Arabidopsis thaliana: one gene and its partners. The protein of the gene in region 1 interacts with the protein of each later gene in a pairwise test. Each region holds a gene or a part of one and is shown on either strand. Other genes may lie near its edges.

What was found.
Region 2: the proteins of HDG1 (region 1) and SHN3 interact in a two-hybrid assay, tested with the Arabidopsis thaliana proteins (one large-scale study listed by BioGRID).
Region 3: the proteins of HDG1 (region 1) and AT2G44970 interact in a two-hybrid assay, tested with the Arabidopsis thaliana proteins (one large-scale study listed by BioGRID).
Region 4: the proteins of HDG1 (region 1) and ATPK7 interact in a two-hybrid assay, tested with the Arabidopsis thaliana proteins (one large-scale study listed by BioGRID).

The regions. Positions count from the first base shown.
Region 1 is NC_003074.8:22,628,523-22,635,716, forward strand, and holds HDG1 (homeodomain GLABROUS 1), read left to right. Parts: upstream 1-1,808; 5' UTR 1,809-2,246; coding exon 2,247-2,417; intron 2,418-2,495; coding exon 2,496-2,704; intron 2,705-2,787; coding exon 2,788-2,905; intron 2,906-2,975; coding exon 2,976-3,662; intron 3,663-3,756; coding exon 3,757-3,855; intron 3,856-3,946; coding exon 3,947-4,147; intron 4,148-4,549; coding exon 4,550-4,727; intron 4,728-4,951; coding exon 4,952-5,319; intron 5,320-5,957; coding exon 5,958-6,353; 3' UTR 6,354-6,633; downstream 6,634-7,194. Other genes in the region: FUS6 (COP9 signalosome complex subunit 1), read left to right, coding at 1-105, 197-373. UniProt on the Arabidopsis thaliana protein: Probable transcription factor. Promotes cuticle development probably by modulating the expression of the downstream genes BDG and FDH, possibly repressed in a CFL1-dependent manner.
Region 2 is NC_003076.8:8,818,599-8,822,563, forward strand, and holds SHN3 (Integrase-type DNA-binding superfamily protein), read left to right. Parts: upstream 1-1,859; 5' UTR 1,860-2,038; coding exon 2,039-2,118; intron 2,119-2,653; coding exon 2,654-3,143; 3' UTR 3,144-3,464; downstream 3,465-3,965.
Region 3 is NC_003071.7:18,548,290-18,553,792, reverse strand, and holds AT2G44970 (alpha/beta-Hydrolases superfamily protein), read left to right. Parts: upstream 1-1,621; 5' UTR 1,622-1,773; coding exon 1,774-1,809; intron 1,810-1,821; exon of another isoform or gene 1,822-2,204; intron 2,205-2,286; coding exon 2,287-2,349; intron 2,350-2,584; coding exon 2,585-2,711; intron 2,712-2,885; coding exon 2,886-3,132; intron 3,133-3,297; coding exon 3,298-3,426; intron 3,427-3,537; coding exon 3,538-3,587; intron 3,588-3,672; coding exon 3,673-3,770; intron 3,771-3,850; coding exon 3,851-4,138; intron 4,139-4,320; coding exon 4,321-4,794; 3' UTR 4,795-4,980; downstream 4,981-5,503. Other genes in the region: ASG3 (SNF2 domain-containing protein / helicase domain-containing protein), read left to right, coding at 21-646, 718-863, 944-1,108, 1,235-1,349, 1,426-1,450.
Region 4 is NC_003074.8:10,216,898-10,221,887, forward strand, and holds ATPK7 (Protein kinase superfamily protein), read right to left. Parts: upstream 3,165-4,990; 5' UTR 2,588-3,164; coding exon 1,734-2,587; intron 1,657-1,733; coding exon 774-1,656; 3' UTR 520-773; downstream 1-519. Other genes in the region: AT3G27590 (reverse transcriptase family protein), read left to right, coding at 3,518-3,562, 4,217-4,363, 4,654-4,818. UniProt on the Arabidopsis thaliana protein: Protein kinase that regulates the auxin transport activity of PIN auxin efflux facilitators by direct phosphorylation. D6PK-mediated PIN phosphorylation promotes auxin transport in the hypocotyl and this is a prerequisite for PHOT1-dependent hypocotyl bending.

The DNA of each region.
Region 1 (7,194 bases):
CCATTTGTCTCTGTTGATTTGAGCAGGATGGCCGATGCATTCAAGACTAGCGTCTCTGGTCTAGAGAAAGAACTTGAAGCCTTGATCACAGACAACCAGATTCAGGTCCGTAGTGTTTCCCGAAATAACTTTGTTTTATGTTACTGTCATTTTAAAAACCTTAATAGAGGCAAAATCTTTTTTCCATCCCGGACAGGCAAGGATTGATTCACACAACAAAATCCTCTATGCAAGACACGCGGATCAGAGGAATGCAACTTTCCAAAAGGTACTTCAGATGGGAAACGAATTCGATAGAGATGTCAGGGCGATGCTGTTAAGAGCCAACCTCCTGAAACATGAGTATCATGCCAGATCGGCAAGGAAACTTTGATGACATCTGCTTTGCTAAACTGAGAGGTAATGGCCTATTCCAAGATCATAAGATATCTGTTAAAATTTAATTTGGTTTAGTTACTGGTTAGCTTTCTATCTGACCTTCTCTGTTCTCTAGTTATCGCTTTGTTTTGTCAACTTTTAGTTTAAGATTCTTTGAATTATCTATGGACTTTGAATGAAATCCCGAGTGTGAATCTATAGACGCATGAATCACACTGAAAGTGAAATGGTCAAAGAGTACAGACATAAGTACACACACTTGGTTTCATGGGCCGATATGATTTATGATCTTTGTATGCATGTGGGTGGTGGGATCAAAAATCTCATCTCCCAACTAATATCCATTTCATTTTGTCAACTAAACGTCGTATATTATATGATAGTTTGTGGCTTTGTGCACAGTTGTCACTCTATAGTTGAAGACTTTTTTTTTTCTTATCTACAAGAAATAATAATCAAAACGGTTAGGTCTTTTTTTTATAAGTAGAATCTCGAAAATTGCAAAACCAAGATTTGATGTCGGCAAACGCATCATGTAGACTAAGTGTGAACTTTTGATTTTCTTGTGTCAAAGAACTTTTGATATTAATCACTCGATAGCTACGTTTCATCATTATTAGTTTCTTCTATAGAATTTTTATCACTGAATGGGATAGTTCACATTATCTGGTACTATTATTTTTACTATTGCAAGTAGTTCTTTTCTATGCATTTCTTTGAAGTTGTTCTCTTTGTAGTTTGAGGTATCTTATATATATATATTTCTATATGTTTGTGTTTGCCAGGAATATTCAAGGGTGTTTTTTCAAGATTCGAACCAAACGAGAAATTGGGCAAGATTACTTTTTTGTAAGAACCAAGTGTTTCAATGAGTCGATGACATTTAGAGTAAGTAAAGGTTTTATTCTAAGATGGACAGTCCATTATTAATCAACTATTGAATGATATTGCCTTTTAAATGAGTCTTAGGTAGCATCGCAATAACTCCATGTTTACTCAAAACTCACAAACCATGAAGTTAAGAATCCGCCAAATTTGGAAGATGGGCCAACTCTAAATTTACTCACCCCAATACTCCATTTATTTTGGGTTGCATTGATGAAAGTAATTTGTATAATTGATAGGTTGTGTATCAAAAACCGGATCTCATTATTTGTGATCTTTGCATTAGTTATTTTTGGAGACTAATAACCATCTTTCTAAACTGTGAGTAATACAAATATAAACAACTTCTTGTTCGCTATGGAAAATAAAACATAACTCTTTAGGTACGATTCACGATGCAAAAACAATAGTCATCGTGAATAAACATGTCCGAAATACATGAATTAACAAATGAAACGCTCAACAAATGAATTGACAAATGAAACGCTCAACAAACGAAGAATCTCACATCCCATGATGAAATTGGGATTTACAAATAAAAAGTAGCACAAGAAGAAGGGGGTAGAACAGTAATTTTAAAAGAAAGACAGCGTTGATTCACCACTTGAAGTGGACTTTTATAGCAAAAAGAGTTGAGTAACGTCAAAAGAGTCAAACCCAACTTTTCAAAGGTTGTGTAAGGCTTTCCATGACTCCACATCTTCTTCTTTTCCCTTTTTATCCTTTTCTCTTCTCTCTCTTTTATTTTTTCTTTTGAAGTAAATTAATTTCACGAAACAAATCAGAGAACCTTTTATATCTTCCTTTTTCGTCGTTACTATCGTCCTTTACCTTTTTCATTTACTGTTCTCTCTCTCTCTCTATCTCTATCTCTATCTTCTATTCATGGACATGCACCGAAGCGACAAAGCTTAGGGCTTTTCTCTCATCCATGGCGGATTTCTTCTATCTTCATTAAATATTTCCCTCTTTATTAAAATCTCATGAATTTCAACGGTTTTCTCGACGACGGTGCTGGAGCCTCAAAGCTACTCTCTGATGCTCCGTACAACAACCACTTCTCTTTCTCCGCCGTAGACACCATGCTCGGAAGCGCCGCCATTGCTCCTTCTCAGTCTCTTCCTTTCTCTTCTTCAGGCCTCTCTCTCGGACTCGTAAGCTCACTATCTCCTCTTTTAATCTTCGATTTCTTCTTCTTCTACTACTTATGATAATCTCTGTAAATTTGGCAGCAAACAAATGGAGAAATGAGTAGAAACGGAGAGATTATGGAGTCAAACGTAAGTCGTAAGAGTAGTAGAGGAGAAGATGTAGAAAGCAGATCTGAAAGTGATAACGCTGAAGCTGTCTCCGGTGACGATTTAGATACCTCCGATAGACCTTTAAAGAAGAAGAAACGTTACCATCGTCACACTCCTAAACAAATTCAAGACCTCGAATCGTAAACTCACTATACACAAAATCTCCATTTACACTTCTACGAATCGTTTTGATTTTTGATTTTGATGAATCCTCCATTTTTAGGGTTTTTAAAGAGTGTGCACATCCAGACGAGAAGCAACGTCTTGATCTTAGCCGTCGACTTAACTTAGATCCTCGTCAAGTCAAGTTCTGGTTCCAGAATCGTCGTACTCAGATGAAGGTTTTTAGCTTCGAATCGCTAATCTTTGTTTTCTGGTTTCTTTGTTTTGATTTTTGATTTGTTTTTACAGACTCAAATCGAACGACATGAGAATGCTTTGTTGAGGCAAGAGAACGATAAGCTTCGAGCTGAGAATATGTCTGTACGCGAAGCTATGAGAAACCCTATGTGTGGTAATTGCGGCGGACCTGCCGTTATCGGTGAGATCTCAATGGAAGAGCAACATCTGAGAATTGAAAACTCTCGTCTCAAAGATGAGTTAGACCGAGTCTGTGCCTTAACCGGTAAGTTTCTTGGCCGGTCTAATGGTTCACATCATATACCGGACTCAGCACTTGTTCTCGGCGTTGGTGTTGGTTCTGGTGGATGTAATGTTGGTGGTGGTTTCACTCTCTCTTCTCCGCTGTTGCCTCAAGCTTCTCCTAGATTTGAGATTTCTAATGGAACCGGTTCTGGTTTGGTGGCTACGGTTAACCGTCAACAACCGGTTAGTGTTAGTGATTTTGATCAGAGATCGAGGTATTTGGATTTAGCTCTTGCGGCTATGGATGAGCTTGTGAAGATGGCTCAGACACGTGAGCCGCTCTGGGTTCGAAGCTCGGATTCTGGTTTTGAAGTGCTGAACCAGGAAGAGTACGACACAAGTTTCTCTCGGTGTGTTGGACCAAAACAAGATGGGTTTGTCTCAGAAGCTTCTAAAGAAGCTGGAACTGTTATCATCAATAGCTTAGCGCTCGTTGAAACCTTAATGGACTCGGTGAGTAGTTACTAAAACACTTAATTTTAGTAATGAGCTTAATCCAGCAAAAGTTCTAGAAAGTACTAATCTTTTGATACAATGTTTTTTATAGGAACGGTGGGCGGAAATGTTTCCTAGTATGGTCTCAAGAACTTCAACCACAGAGATTATCTCTAGTGGCATGGGAGGGCGAAATGGTGCACTTCACCTGGTATGTAATTATGCGTTTAACATTTAATTAACACATATAAAATCTTAATTCAACAAATGGGTCTTTTAATGTTTTGTTTTTGGTTAATTAGATGCACGCAGAGCTTCAACTGCTGTCTCCACTCGTGCCGGTTAGACAAGTGTCGTTCTTGCGGTTCTGTAAACAGCACGCGGAAGGTGTTTGGGCAGTCGTGGATGTCTCAATTGATTCCATTAGAGAAGGTTCTTCTTCGAGCTGTAGAAGATTACCATCCGGTTGCCTCGTACAAGACATGGCCAATGGCTACTCAAAGGTAAAATTATTCTTTCTGGGTGATGATTATTTGTAATAGTAGTATACTGTATAGTTTTAACTTTTCACCTTTAGGAGTTACCCTAGTGTTGGTTGGTTCACATTTCTCTAGGAACCACAGGCAAGCTCTTTGTTTTTGTCCGAGAAATTATGATAAAGGTTTCTTATGCATTGGGTTTATAACTTTAAATTAACTTATGCATTGGAGTAGGATTATTTTATTGATCAGAAGCATCTAAATATCTCCGAGTTCTGTGCCCTTGGATCGTGCATTAATTTTTATCATTACACGTTCATAGAAGTTTTTCTCTTTGATTATCATTAATTATGTGTTAAAGCTGACATTAGACCTAAAAAAACGATTGTGATAAACCTAACGCAAAATAGTTTAAGAAATTTGCAGGTAACATGGATCGAGCACACGGAGTATGACGAAAACCACATCCACCGTTTATACCGCCCATTACTCAGGTGCGGTCTAGCGTTTGGTGCGCATCGATGGATGGCTGCATTACAACGTCAATGCGAATGCCTCACGATTCTCATGTCCTCCACTGTTTCCACTTCCACTAATCCATCCCGTAAGCTCCCTCAAACGCTGCGTTTCTGATTTATTTTGTAGAAATATATATTTGTTTGTTGTTGTTGACGTGATTCATATCTTATCCTACCAGAATAAATAAGATTTAATAAATAGTATGAACTGTTGACTGAGTCACAAAGAAAAAGATGATAGCTGTTGATTCTGTAATTATCAAACTATATAGTTTAATTAATCTTTTTTTGGTTATATTAATGGGCACAGCTATAAACTGCAATGGGAGAAAAAGCATGCTAAAGCTAGCGAAGAGGATGACTGATAATTTCTGTGGAGGGGTTTGTGCTTCGTCGTTACAGAAATGGAGCAAACTCAACGTTGGCAACGTCGACGAAGACGTTAGGATAATGACTAGGAAGAGTGTAAACAATCCTGGCGAGCCGCCTGGGATAATTCTAAATGCGGCGACGTCAGTTTGGATGCCGGTATCTCCGAGGCGGTTGTTTGACTTCCTTGGAAACGAACGGCTTAGATCGGAATGGGATATCTTATCCAACGGTGGACCAATGAAAGAGATGGCCCATATAGCTAAAGGCCATGACCGTTCCAACTCCGTCTCCCTCCTCCGTGCCAGCGTAAGCATTCATATTTATTACACTTTCTATTTGCATGCGTAAGTAGCTAAGCTAATCTCCAAATTTTAGTTTAGGTTTTGGTGAATTTAGTATTTTATAAACATTAGATGGTTTTGGAAAACTTGAAATTTTAGTCGGTTTAGTTTTTTGTTTACGGTTTTCAACTTTTTCTGATTTTTTTGGGTTGGTTTTAGATAAATTAAAGTTAAACCGACTTGTGTGGACATTGAATATTTGATCTATAAACAGTGTATGAAAGGACTTTGTTGTGTTGTGTGACCCCAGGATGGTGTTGTCATATGAATCTTGTCGCGTGTGATTGGAAAGTGACAAATCTAGAATTTGGAAGTATTGTGTGATAAAAGTCAATAGTAATAAGACATTTTTGACCTTTTTCTTTCCTTTTTGGCTCCGACGTTTTGAAAAATCCTCTGTTTTTTTCTCTCTTTATTTCTGCATTATTGGTGTCTTTTCTCCGTTGTACCCCTTGAGCTTTTTCTGGCTTGTGACGGTGACACTGTAAAAGTCTCCTCGTTCATCATCTTTTAATTTATTGTTTCCCCTTTTGGGATTTATAATTTTCTCTTCTACCACCAAAGTTTCCATTTATTTAATTTTGTTTTGATTTTTTCATGCAGGCGATAAATGCGAATCAGAGTAGTATGCTGATATTACAAGAGACAAGCATAGACGCTGCAGGAGCGGTTGTCGTGTACGCGCCTGTTGATATCCCAGCAATGCAAGCTGTGATGAACGGTGGAGATTCTGCTTACGTGGCACTCCTTCCTTCAGGATTCGCCATTCTCCCTAACGGTCAGGCTGGTACGCAACGCTGCGCCGCAGAGGAACGTAACAGTATTGGTAACGGTGGGTGCATGGAGGAAGGAGGGTCGTTACTAACGGTGGCGTTTCAGATACTGGTGAATAGTTTGCCTACGGCTAAGCTAACGGTGGAATCTGTGGAGACGGTTAATAATTTGATATCGTGCACCGTTCAGAAGATTAAAGCTGCTCTTCATTGTGATAGCACCTGATCATCGAGATCAGACGATGGAGGAGATTGAGTCAAGAACGAACCTCATTTTGTGATGAATCCGTTTTTGTGATGGTTCGGGTATTGACTCGATGAAATTTAAAAAAAAAAAAAAAACAAAGAATGTTGTAATTTGGATCGGTTTTATTTTGGATCATGTCGATGAAATGTAATTGTTTCTTGTTTCTCTTCTTGTAATGACTCGATAATATCGGGACAGCATTATATGAAACACACAAGTTTTTTTTAGGGGAGCTCAAATAATTAGTTATAAGCAAAAACGTATTATCATTTTTTTGGTTATAAATCAAGGCAACCAGAAGCACAATCCGTGTTTACTTTTGTGGTAGTTTATAATGTGAAAGGATTGGTTTGGACCGTGTCCTTTATTTAATGTTGTTCCAAGTTTACAGTACTTTTCTCAATAAGATGGAAAAGGAACGAACGAAGAAGAGTGAAACACGTGAGTGCATGAATTTAGTTGCAATCCCTTATAGTTATTATATCCATGCAATGTAGACAACTACAACGAAAGGCTAATTGATTAGGTTGGTTTAGAGATTGTTTGATAATGCTAGCCTAGATCCAAAGGTCACATCAGAAGAGACCACAGGCTACTAATGGGCTTTTATCTAAAGCCTGTCATTAACTACTCTATTATGGCTACCAAGTAAGTCTTCTCAAAGTGTATTGGGCCAATCATTAACTAATTTATTGGGCTAGATTTTAAGTCCATTGGAGTATATACTATTATTACAAACGACAATAATATTATTATTACAAACGGGCCGAAAGAAAAGAGTCAAAAGGAAGAGTCAAACTTCCGAATAATCCGCGCGCTT
Region 2 (3,965 bases), on another chromosome or scaffold:
ATTATTTATGTGCTATTTGTGAGAATTACCAATTTCTAGACCAATATTTTATTATTATTCATATAATTAAACGTTTATTGAATTATTTTAGCTCTAAAAAATATAATGAAATTTAGAATTGTTATAGAAACTTTAAATGACTCAAAACTGATCTTTGTTTTTTTGTCAACCACACATTAATTAAAAACTGATCTTTGTTAAACATCTAAATATTGAAAAACAAAAGGATTACCACCGCACCTATCCTGCATCGTCTTGTACCATTTGCATTCATCAGAGCCATTATATATTCATGTGGCTGTCACATCCTTATATACATTTCAACTTATAAATTTAATTTTGTACGTTTAGCAGATGTTGGTGAATTCATTTATTCAAGCTTAAGGTTTAACTCGTTCTTGTCTCCTTTAGGTTCATAACATTTAATGGACAACAACTACTCCAAATATCCGTGGACTTTACCACGCGACGCACCGACAATTCTCTAGCCTTTTCATTAATTGATCAGTAAAAACACTTCTATAATTTTAATTATTCTCAGAAATTTTAACCGGTAGTAACATAAACGTAGATGATCGAAAAAGATGAAATCGAGGTCTCTGTTTTGTGTCGAATTAATAGATCTATAAGAAATCAAACAATGAAAATTAAATAGATGAATGAAATATGTTTTGACGACGTTTTCACGTCACTGTTTAAGTTATCTGTTAGTAAAATTTGATAGCATTTAATTTGAATTGCTATGTAACTCGGAATAAATTCGACGGCAAGAGGTGTGGGATGTGATCAGTCTTCTAATTAAGTGTAATCTTTACAAAAAATCAGTATGAGTTAATACAGGTTTATAAATAGAAAGACATCTACAGTAAAACCTCTATAAATTAATAATGTTGGGACTGCAAAATTTTATTAATTTAGAAAGATTTTAATTTATCGATAAATTAATATTTATTAATTTATAGAGAGATTTTCGTAATTTAGTAACTTTTCAAAAATTTCTATAAAATTTTTTTCATTATAGAAAATATCTTTCAAAAATCAATTACAAGTAAATAATAATATCATGTTTAGAAAACAACACCAAAAGTTTTTGATAAAGTAAAATACTATAACTAAATTTAAATAAGAATAAATACAAATTTTAAGCAAAAAAATATTAGAATTATATTTCAAAATAATTTCTTACATATAATGTATATATAGTTGATATATTTATAAAATTATTAATTTATGATATTGATGGGACCATATATTTACATAAGATTTTTTAAAAAGTTATTATCTTATTAATTTATCGATTTGTGTCACTTTTTACACTGATCCCAACTCGGGACTGGAAGAATTTATTAATTTATAGAGGTTATTAATTTATCGAGTATTAATTTATAGAGGTTTAACTGTATATGAATAATTGAATACACATGGGACATCATTATAGTTACCTTAGTACGATTTTATGCATTTGGTTACCAAAATCCACTAGGCTTCGTAATTGGTTGTGGGTCAGTGTCCATTCGATAGTTTGCATTAGCGATAAACACTTAAAACAGTAAAACGTGATCTATTTTTAAACAATAACATTTCTTCTTATCAAATATTCACATAATTAATGAAGAAAAGAGACGAATTGATAGGCAATAAGAAATATGATCACTTGGTACCATTGTATGCATGGTATGAACTGACATCAAGTATTTGTACGTTGTAGGGTAATTATTAACATTGTAGAATGACAAGTATGATCAAATGGAAAAGGATTAGTTATATGTAGCAAAACTAGTATTTGTACTTGGACTATCTTGTCATGTAGTTTTCCTAACGCTATATATAATCCAATAACCCCATGACACGGAAGAGATAGGGGACATACAATAAATATCAGTAGAGAGGACGTGGGAAAAGCAGAGAGTTAAGTGAGTAGTTGGAGATAGAAAGATCAGAGACGAGGAATCTCTCTCCCACTCTCACTTTCTCTCCTATTCTTAGTTCGTGTCAGAAACACACAGAGAAATTAAGAACCCTAATTTAAAACAGAAGAATGGTACATTCGAAGAAGTTCCGAGGTGTCCGCCAGCGTCAGTGGGGTTCTTGGGTTTCTGAGATTCGTCATCCTCTCTTGTCAGTTCTCTCTCCCTCTCTATCTATTAATAGAGACAACAGTATAAATCTGTTTATGCAAGTCCATGCTATGAGTTAAGTTTACATTTTTGGTGTACGTGTAGGGCAGTTTTCTGATCATTGATTATATTTTCGAAGATTCATGCAAAGCTCTTATAATATCATGCATTTTTGTTTAAGTCGTTTTCCTTATTTTTTTCCAATTAAAAAACCCACGTTTATTAACATATACATATGTTGAGTATTTGTACTTTTTGTGTTGTATTTTGAAATTTTGAGTGTACATAAATTTAAATGCTTTGTCATATAATTGATACTGATGTATTTTCTATGTCTTAGTTGGATTATAGAAAATCATATAGCAAAGAATTGGGAAGGAACGAACACTACTCACTATAAACTTTCCTCAAAAAGAAAACGACCCAATTTATTATCAGTAACAATTTATAACAAATTTGTTGTGTGTTTGTTTTAGTACTTTGAAGTTTGAATAAAATGTGTGTTTTTTGCTTACGTAACTTATGTGAGCTATCAGGAAGAGAAGAGTGTGGCTAGGAACATTCGACACGGCGGAAACAGCGGCTAGAGCCTACGACCAAGCCGCGGTTCTAATGAACGGCCAGAGCGCGAAGACTAACTTCCCCGTCATCAAATCGAACGGTTCAAATTCCTTGGAGATTAACTCTGCGTTAAGGTCTCCCAAATCATTATCGGAACTATTGAACGCTAAGCTAAGGAAGAACTGTAAAGACCAGACACCGTATCTGACGTGTCTCCGCCTCGACAACGACAGCTCACACATCGGCGTCTGGCAGAAACGCGCCGGGTCAAAAACGAGTCCAAACTGGGTCAAGCTTGTTGAACTAGGTGACAAAGTTAACGCACGTCCCGGTGGTGATATTGAGACTAATAAGATGAAGGTACGAAACGAAGACGTTCAGGAAGATGATCAAATGGCGATGCAGATGATCGAGGAGTTGCTTAACTGGACCTGTCCTGGATCTGGATCCATTGCACAGGTCTAAAGGAGAATCATTGAATTATATGATCAAGATAATAATATAGTTGAGGGTTAATAATAATCGAGGGTAAGTAATTTACGTGTAGCTAATAATTAATATAATTTTCGAACATATATATGAATATATGATAGCTCTAGAAATGAGTACGTATATATACGTAAACATTTTTCCTCAAATATAGTATATGTGTTGTGATTCTAAGACTTGTAAACTGATATGGCCTACTGTTTAAAGAGTAGTTGATATTTTCTATTGAATTTGTGGACATGATATAATTACAGGAGATTAGTATAGTAGTCATTATGATACTTATGAAGGTACAAGTGGTAGGATGATAATTAATTAGTTTAATAAAGAATAATGAACATTAAATGTGAAAGAGATTTGCCACTTTTGTTAAACACATCTGCGAATCAGATTCTTGTGATTCGAATGTTAGTCCTACCTAGATTAAGAAAGGTTTTACTATTTTAACATGTTTACCTGGTTTGGGTAAAGTTCATGTCCTGTCCTATTCCGTCTTGTCCCGATCATGATAAACTTTATGAGCAATTCTTATAGAATTTTATTTTAAAATACTGATTTTTGATATTCAATTTTATTTGATTATTTTTTACTTAGGCATGTGATAAAGGCGATTTTGACTTAGTTTCACATACAAGTTTAAGTAAATTATCTTACATAACAAAAGAGATTCAAGTAAATAAATCTAAGCGGGCTAAAATTAATCAACTAGCTCAAGTTGAAACATTTTATCAAGTGAACCTCTTCCAAGTCTAGATAGCATCTCAAGTTTATATATGATATCATATCATGGACACACTT
Region 3 (5,503 bases), on another chromosome or scaffold:
TCTAAATGCGTGTGTTTCAGGTTATTTTGAGGAGGGCAGAGAGAAAGTTGCAGCTTAGTCATAATGTTGTGGGAGATAACATGGAAGAGAAAGAAGAAGATGGTGGTGATTTGCGGTCTCTAGTGTTTGGTTTACAAAGGTTTGATCCCGAGGAGATTCACAATGAAGAGTCTGATAACCTGAAAATGGTAGAAATAAGTTCTCTTGCTGAGAAAGTTGTTGCAATACGTCAAAACGTTGAACCAGACAAGGAAGAAAGAAGGTTTGAAATTAATTCGAGCGACACTTTGCTAGGAAATACATCATCTGCAAGTCTGGATTCCGAGCTTGATGAAGCTTCTTACCTTTCATGGGTTGAGAAATTGAAGGAAGCTGCACGATCAAGCAAGGATGAAAAAATTATTGAGTTGGGAAATAGAAAGAACTTATCTGAGGAAAGAAATCTGAGAATTGAGGCTGCCAGGAAAAAGGCAGAAGAGAAGAAGTTAGCCACGTGGGGAGCACACGGTTATCAGTCTTTGTCCGTGGAAGAACCGATTTTGCCTGATGATGTTGATTCCAGCTCAGATGCAGGATCTGTTAACTTTGTCTTTGGAGACTGTACAAATCCATCAACTGTCTCTCATGAGCCAGCAATCATATTCAGGTAAAACTTCATTTCAATTGTTCATCTAAAAACCAAACCTCTAAAACTTCCAAATATTGATTTTATGGCAGCTGTGTTGATGACTCTGGAAACTGGGGACGTGGTGGAATGTTTGATGCTCTGTCAAAACTGTCTAATACTGTACCCACTGCTTATCACCGAGCATCCGAGTTTAAAGACCTTCATCTTGGAGACCTGCATCTCATAAAAATTGATGGTCTGCAACTTTTTTTTTTTCTATCTTCCTTTCATTTTCTAACAACATCAAAGAGTTCTCATGTATTTTGTGTTGTGTAGACAATGATGACCAACAAAACACACAAGCAAGCAAGCCTCTTTGGGTGGCAGTTGCAGTTACACAATCTTACAATTCGAGGCGTAAAGTCCCACGTAGTAGCATTTCAATTCCAGACCTTGAAAGTTGCTTAGCCAAAGCTTCATTCTCTGCTTCTCAGAAATCAGGTACGAACTTAATTACTTTCTTTCTTTAAAGTTTCATCATATTTGGAATTATAAACAAAAGTGCTCCCAAAGAGCTTAACACTTGTGTTGTCATTTCTGGTATGGTAATGTTCTCTCCTCAAAAAGCCTCACTCCACATGCCACGTATTGGTTACCAAGACGGATCAGACCGATCTCAATGGTACACTGTTGAGCGTCTTCTTCGAAAATACTCCTCCATCTTCACCGTCAAAATATTCGTGTAAGTTTATATGTGTCGCCCGTCTTCTTTCTTTTGAATAATCCAAAGCAAACTCATTTTTGTTGCTTTCTTGTAGGTACTATTATCGTCGATCTCCCTGAATCACACAATGGGATAGTCTTTTTGACGCTGTAATATAATTTGCTTTTGGTTGTACATGTAACGGTGTCGTTTGTATGTAGAAGGAAGACTTGTAATTGGGCCCAGTAGTGGCCCATATTAATGTATAATTAAATAATAGCCTAATCTTATAATTCAATCTTGATCACTGAGCCAATTTACACGTGTTGCGTCTCTAGTGCCTCTGGTTCCACGTTGGTCGTCAAAATTGAAATCGCGTTTCTATTTTCTTCACGAGGTTTCTTTTCCCCGCGGCTTAGGACAATATGATCCGAATCGTTGAAGAAACTGTCTCCTTGTGTCTATGTTTCGTTTTGATCCCACATTCCTAAAGCTCCAGGTACCTTTTCTACGTTTCCCGAATTCTGATTAGTTGATTCTTCTTCCTCAATCCGTTCTTCCCAAACTTGTTGCCGATTTTTGGATCCGGTCATCAACTTTGTTGTTTATTTGTCATCAATGCAAAAATTGAGAGCGTCTGTGTTTTCACTTGCATGTTATCAATTCCTAATGTTGTTTGCCGTTTCATTAACCGGATTCGAGACTCTTCCCGCTGGATTTCTTTTTTTCACGTCTTCTTTTCTATTTTTTATGGATTTGGTATTTTGACATGTTAAGCAACCTTCGTTAATCAGTTTAAAATCGGTGCTTTCCGAAATTTTTAGAAGAAACATGGAAGCTTAAAATTTTGAAATTGCTATTTGGAAAAGCTATCATTTCATAGGCTTAGTCTTTGTAATTCTTCTTTACTTGTTGTTCATTGGCATGAATATATGAAGGATTTTATATTTGATTGTGTGTTTGTTTATGTTGTTAGAAATTGATCAAAATGGGAGAAGCTGGTCAATCCAGAGACGGAGAATCTGTCACGCCTCTTGTTGTAAGTATTGTGGCTTCCTTTTCTCACTTTTTAGATAATACTTTCAGAAACTATACTTGCTTTATGCTCTCATCTTAATGGAATTCTGTTTGGAGTCAACTTAACGTTCTCTTGGTTTCTATATCAACGGAAACATATAAGTTGATTAAAATGGGGTTAAAGAGGATATTCGTAATTTTTGGTTCTTTATGCATTGAGACTACCATTCTAATATCAGTAATTTTTCCATGGCCAGGGCGGTGGTAATGGGGACAATGCGGTTGCACCACAAGTGTTTAATTCTTTACCAGCTCTTAATGAAGCTGCTTCTTATATAACTCAAGCAACGTCTTACTTAGGGAGCTGTTTTTCTGACTATTCAGGTACCCTTTCTTTCTATCTGTTGATGTCGTACTCAGTATGCAATTCCACGTTCATATGCTAGGCTTTACTTATGGAAAATATGCTTAGCAGATATTTATGGTGTTAGGATCTTATCGTCACCGTAACATAATTCAGGCTTTGCTTAGCATCTGTTCTTTCAATGCTTTCTTCAGTAGAATATGGTGGCAAGGATACTATTTCCCACCCCCATGAGTTGTTACGATCAACTTCCGGAGTTGACGGGAATTCCCCAGTGAGTGTATGCATTTCGCCTGGTGAAAGGTTTTCAACTTCTTCAGAGGCATCTACATCTGATGCCAACAGCCCGTCGAGGGAATCTACAGAGATTCTGCCACAGGCAACAAATGCAATAGTGACTTCGAATCGGTTAAATTTAAATGGAATTTCAATGTTCCAAGGGTACGTGTACTTTGTATTACAGATACAAATTCCCCATACTAGTAGATATGTAAAATCTTAATACTATGAATATGTGAAACTGAAGCAATACAATAATCTCTATACACTACTACTTCTTGTCAAGTTTTCAGCATTTGGGTGATTGATCTATTTTAATTCAATCAGGCTCATTGAGCGGGCACGGAGGACTGTTCGTGGCTCGGCAGATGACATAGGATGGTTACAGCGTGCCCCGGAGATGCCTCCTGTTGAAGATGGAACTGATAGGTTCAATAAAATTCTGGAAGACATCGGGTATGAATTGGTTGTAGTTGCATGTTTTGTGTGCTTTGTGGCCTTTTCAATATGCTGTTTAACATCCTGTTTTTTACTAAATGGCTGCGTTGATCTGGTTTTTATATCCAGGCATGGTGTACACAGGCTTCCAAATACAGTGGTGTACTTATTGGTTCCAGGTAGCAATTCTTATTCTTTGCTGCCAGCCACTTAAACTACATTACTGTATATTAGGACTCTCAAAATTAGTTGAATTTTTTTTAGGTCTTTTCAGCAATCATGGACCTCTATATTTTGTGGATACGAAAACGAAATTCTCAAAGATGGGTTTGGCGTGTCATATTGCGAAGATTCACAGCGAGGTAATCATAACTAACTCAACTTAGTACAGTTACATTTGGTGTATAGCATACTAATATATGGAGAAATGTTTATATATCAGTCCTCGGTTGAGAAAAATGCGAGAGAGATAAAGGAATACATAGAGGAACTCTGTTGGGGATCTAATAAGCGGGTTCTACTTCTTGGGCATAGCAAAGGAGGCATAGATGCAGCTGCTGCTTTATCACTATACTGGCCTGAACTAAAGGATAAGGTCGCTGGGTTGGTACTGGCGCAGAGTCCATATGGTGGAAGCCCAATAGCTACAGATATCCTCCGTGAAGGACAACTAGGTGATTACGTCAATTTGAGAAAGATGATGGAGATTCTAATCTCCAAAGTCATAAAGGTTTGCAACATTCCTGATCTAACAAAGTCATTTCAGTTGCATTATATCAGCTTCTTGTGATTGCCTGTTAAAATCCTTAGTTAGGTGGAACCGAGAAACTAGGGATAAACCAAAACTTATTTTGTTTCTGGATTCTATTGCTCTGCTGATCTTTCTGATGAATTCCTTGGAACATTGTGAAGGGTGACATTCAAGCATTGGAAGATTTAACATACGAGAGAAGAAAAGAATTCTTGAAGAATCATCCGCTTCCCCGAGAACTCCCCACGGTTTCATTCCGCACAGAAGCTAGCATTAGCCCAGCGGTTCTATCCACTTTATCACACGTAGCACACGCTGAACTTCCTCTGACAAACCAAGCCGCAAAACTGCCAGTGGTAATGCCACTTGGTGCTGCAATGGCTGCTTGCGCTCAGCTACTTCAAGTCAGATACGGTGAAAAGAGTGACGGGCTAGTGACTTGCTGTGACGCAGAGGTTCCTGGTTCTGTGGTTGTTAGACCCAAACGTAAACTAGACCATGCCTGGATGGTGTACTCTTCCTTGAACGAGGTTCCTTTAGAAGCTGATGCTGCTCAAGTTTGTGAAGCGCTCTTAACTTTGCTTGTCCAAGTTGAGCAAGAGAGGCAACAAAAACTCGCAACAAAAATCGATTGATAAACCAAATTGTTTTATTTCTACTTTCGTCTTGAGACTTCAAATTACTGTATTTGTTTCTATCTTTTTGTTTTATTTCTTACTAATTTACTATCAGGTTTGAATCACACGATAACAAAAAAATTATTACAAACGGTAGATTTTATATTTATAAGACTACTTAATTTGCTTCTTTTTTTTTCTTTTATTGTTGATTAATTTTTATTAGAAGATTAGTTATGTTTTTCTCTCTATTCCTTTAACGAACCGTGATCGTGCGGCTCGGATCGTTGGAGATTCTATGGACGGCCGATGCTTATATACTGTAAGTGGAATATGTAATTCCCGAAAGTGCCCTCCAGATGTTCACAAAATTACGCCATCGTACTCGAATTAACTTCAACTCTCTCTTCTCTCTCTCTTTCTTTTCACTCTTGTTTTTGTTTCTGTGAGTGCTGTGTGTGTTCTCGGTTTGTAATATCTAAGTCGCACAAAGATCAGACAAAGTCTGTTTGCGTTTGATAGCATTAGAGTCTGATCGAATTTGGAAGACCTGTGAGATTAGGGTTTCTTTTTGTTTGTTTTTTTTTATTCCGAAGGAGAGCTGCGGAGCAATTGGAATTACCTCGGTTAAAGCAATCACGTAGCTTTGGATCGTTTAGGGTTTTCTCATTGGGTTTGGGGGATTTGTATTCGAGCTTCCTCAAACTCAATCTGATGGTGATGTGAG
Region 4 (4,990 bases), about 12 Mb from region 1:
GTTACTTTAGTTAAAATTAGATAATACTCTTTTGATTGTTTTGAAGTGTTTATGCTCAACTAATTAAATTATCAATTAGGAAACACCACACGTAATTAAATTCATTTTTGCAAGTTATATTGTCTGACTTTTATTTTATATAAATTTTTAGACTATTAAAGTATTAATTACACAGATTTTTAATTAAAAAATAATGAGAATAATTATTTTGTCTTTTTTTTTTCACAAGAGGGATCATTTTTATTGAGCAAGTCAAATATTATTTTGTCTTTACATCTCTAATTTACCGTTTCTTTTAAGATTCTTTTTCTCTGCTTTTTTCTAGATCCCTTATAGGAAATTTTACTAAAGATGAACATTAATGTTTGTAAATTCTTTTACTTTTAAGATTTTTTTTTTAATTTGGTGCACTGATAGGTATTTTCTTTCGAATAACAAAAACTAAGAGAATAATCATATTTTGTGTTTTTACTCTAATTTTACCATTTTTTTAGATTCTTTTTCAATTTTCAGTAACACTAATCTGTTTAATGATTAAAAGAACACATCTATTGATGATTAAAATTTACATTTCCTTAGTTGCAAATTAAAAGACACTTGTATTGGAAAAACTAGATACAACCTCACCACAATGTGAAGAACACAACAGTCAAATATTTGGTAAGACCAAACACATCAGTAACACAAAAATCTAGACACAAACCTCAAAAGCAAACATAATACGCCGGTATCAGATTGAACCAACCAAAACTGATAGTGAAAGAAATCACAAATCAGAAGAAATCAATTTCCAAATAATTACCAGAAGGCTTCACATCCACAGTAGGAGGCTTATCATAACCAACATGTCCATGTCCTTGACTAAAACCATGACGAACACTGTGAGCTTGATCCATTGGTTTAACCGGTTGAGGAATCTGTGGTGGACTGGTGCATCTGATCAAAGCCCAATTCACACTTTGGAAAAACGGATGCTGCTTAATCTCAGTAGCTCCTCTTCTATAAGCCAACCGATGCTGAGGCTCTTTCACTAGCAATCCTCTGATCAAATCTCTAGCTGCAAAGCTCACATTTGGATGCTCGGGAAACCGCAATGGCTGTCCAACTACGTTAAAGAGTGTCGCTCTGTTATCGCCTCCTCTAAACGGTGTTATCCCAAATAGAAGCTCATAGAGGAATATCCCGAATGTCCACCAGTCAACCGCGCTTCCATGACCTTCTCCTTTGATAATCTCTGGTGCTAGGTACTCGTGTGTACCAACAAACGACATTGACCTTGCGCTAGTCGGTTCAGCTATCAGCTCAGGAAGCGGTCTGATTTGGCGGCTCATATCGTTCGACTTCTTCCTGTGCTTTCCTTTAGACAAGAACCGAGGAGTGAAACACACTGGCTGGATGCAGTCAGGCTGAACAATGCAGCTCGATTGGTCTACACATGTTGGTTGGATACAGTAGCTTGAGCTTTTGGACTCAAGCGTGATTGCTGCGAACCGAACCAACGTTGGAGAGACTGCACATCTCAAAGAGAGGTCGAAATCAGATAGCATTATATGTCCATCTTCACGAACTAAAACATTCTCAGGCTTAAGGTCTCTGTATATGATCCCAAGCATATGTAGATACTCCATAGCAAGAAGAACTTCAGCAACATAAAATCTACAAACAAGACAGCAAAAAGATCAAAACTTTCAGCTAATAACGAAAACATTAACCGTAAAGTCTCGAATTTTTACCTAGCAGCTTGCTCAGGGAAGTACTTTCCACGCTGTTTTTGTCTAAGAGAATGTAAATCACCACCAGGACAAAACTCCATAACCAAACAAGAATTCATCTCTGTTTCGAAATGTGAGTAAAGCGTAGGCAAGAAAGGATGATCTAACGATTGAAGTATCTCTTTCTCAGTCTGAGCTCTAACAAGCTTCTTCCTCGCTGCAATAGCAGCTTTCTCCATAACTTTCACAGCAAAACTCACTCCAGTTCCAATCAACTCAGCTAAGTAAACATTACCAATATCACCTCCTCCTAACTTCTTAATCAGCTTGAAATCTTTAGCCTCAAGCGACGAACCAACCCGAGAACGAACCTCCTGAATCGCAACCCAACGCTTATCGTTATTATCTCTATGTGGCTTGTAAGCTGCATTACTCAGACCACTTGAGCTACTCTCATCACTAACATCACTCCCTATACTTCCTCTGTATATCATTACACCATTCTTCTCCAAATCAATACCACCTATACCAATAGTGCTTATGCTTGCACATTCACTGAATTCTGTGTTGGTAAAGCTTTGTTTTGCTTCTGTGTAAAACGTGTTGGTTGGGCTAGAGTAAAACCTTGGCTCTGATTGTTTCTTCTTACGTATAATCGAAATTGGTGTCTCGGATTCAGCTGAAACAGAGGACACAGAACTTTCTATAACTTCAGGGGAAGTTGGTTCTGGTTCTGGGATTAATAACGTCTTCATTGATTTCTTGGTGCCTCTTGAATCGATTGAGAAAGATGTAATCGAACCTTTGGATTTAGATTGAAAGTTTCTGGATTTGGATGATGAACCAACGTAAACGACTGATGAAGAAGAATCCATTGAAGGTGTTCGACAAAATTCCTGAAAGAAAGGTTTTTAAAAGTTAACTTCAAACCCGAATAAAGAAATCGAAAAAAGTGAAACCCAGCAATGATTAGGGTTACTTAAACTCAATCAACGAATCAATTTCAAGTAACCGCCGAGACAACGTAGAGAGAAAGAAAAAGTTTCGATTTTTTTTTCCCGCAAAATTTTGAAGTTCCGGTAAAAGTTGCAGAAACATAGAGGAAGAAGAAGGAAAGAAACTATAACCTGATCATAGACAAATCAGTGGTTTATGAAAATATTTTCTTTCTCTTTGACGAGTTTTGTTAGATCCGATCCGATTAGTGTCCGAGAGAGAAGAAGAAGAAGAAGAAGATGTTTCTTTCTTTCGTATTCTTTAAATTTGCTTTCTTCAGGTGAATGAAGAAGATAAAGAGAAAGTTCGATGTTTCGTCGTTTAATGGGAAAGTTTTTTTAAGCAACTTTTTAAACTCTCGATCTTGCGATGTTCCCTCAAAAGCAAATTTAATTACTGTAATTAAGTAGGGAGCCGCATCTAAGCACTAATTAGTAAGATTATATTATACACTCGTTGTGTATGAATCTTCGTGTTATGTTTTTGTTATGTCTAGGCTATAAAGTTTGAGTATTAGTATAGATTTAGTAGTAGGTCCGTAAAAAATGATTGTAGGGTCACGTTCATTTTGGTCATATTCGACGAATCTGAAATCCAAATTTTAAAATATGAAATCGACTGATCTCTAGGCTACGAATAGAGACAGAACCGCATCATGCGGTACGGTTGTAATAGTAACAAAAAATCTATATATATTTTTTGTTATTATTAGAACTGCATCGCACTTTATGTGCAGTTAAACTGTATGTTATCATTCAGAGTTTTACTAAATGTTCTATGTTTGTGTAAATAATCCAATTTTTAGTTGAATGTGGTTTCATTTTACGGTTTTGAAAATTGTTAAGGATTTTAAAGTACAATAATAAAAAATTAGTTTGAAATTTTTATAAAACTGAGATTAGCTATTTTTTATGATGTATAATTTGTTTAAGCTAAGAAGAGAAAATTCACTCTTGGTGTTGGATTACCCTACGCATTAAACTCTTAAACTAATTATTTGTGCATGAGAAAAAAATTGTGTTCTTAAATTAAGTTAAACGAAACATAGATGAGAGGGTCATGACTCATGAAACAACTGACAAGGTTATCCATTTTCATATTTTCGTGATTTGAAAATTCTATTTCGAATCAATATCTATGCAATGAGATTATACAACATGGAATCATAATCATTAGATATTAATTGCACCAATGCAATCTTGTTGGTAGATTTTAATTAAAATATTTTTCTATCAGGAGACATGTCCTCCTAAGAATTCGAGATGGCTGGTACATTGAACCACTGATAATAAATTTATTAAAACTTAAATAACTATGCATGTTCTTCTTTATTTCTAGAAATAATTAATTTTACTGTTTAAAATGACTCCATTAGTTAAACCATTTTACGAGGATGAATCTAAAAATTATTCAACAAAAAAAAAAAACGAGAAATCATGTTAACAAAACAAAAACTGAATAGTGATTAGTAATTAATTACACTTAAAAATTGAGTTAACATAATGTAGGAAGTAGGCGGAAGTTACGACCGAGGCGCCTCAATGCCTCACATGGACGCACGTGGACTACCGGCAACAGCACGTGGACGACGGCTGTCGTCGTCCTCCGGCGTATTTTATTATTTTGCGCTTCTAATATCCTCGTCTCGGGTACAGGTGAGTATTTTAACTGAACCAAGTCAAACTAAACCGAACTAGTCTAACCCAAACCATGTCACAATCGTTGCATGTTGATGTTTGATTAATAAACTTTTTACTAAACCAAACGATGAAGTTTATTTGGAAAATTGTTTGGTATATAAGAGCACAGAAAATTACTTTTGAATGTTTAAAATCTTTGGGAATCAACTCCAACACAAACCAAAGTAAAACCAAACAAACTAAAACCTAATACGGCGTTGATCATCAAATTAGCCTTTCAAGCCTCAGTCTATCTTGTGTGGAAGGAGCGGAACCAAAGAATTCATTCCTCCTCTCAGAAAACTTCCTTAACTATTGTCAAGGAGATTAAGGTTATCTTGAAGGCGCGCCTTGATCCGTTGGCTCGTGCCCAACGGTTAGCCAGACCGGGATCGTCGGTTCTCTCAACCTGGTTTAGGTTGTTCGGGTAAGGTCTCTATCTCCTTTTTTCCTTCCTCTCTTCCTCTTTCTTTTGGGGCCTGCGTGCCTGTGTTGGGCTTTTGCCTTGTTCTGTTCAGGCCTGTGTGCCTTTTTAGCCTTTTGGCATTGTATGTTCTCTTTTAAAGGAAATTTAAAATTAAAAAAAAAAAAAAAAAAACTAAC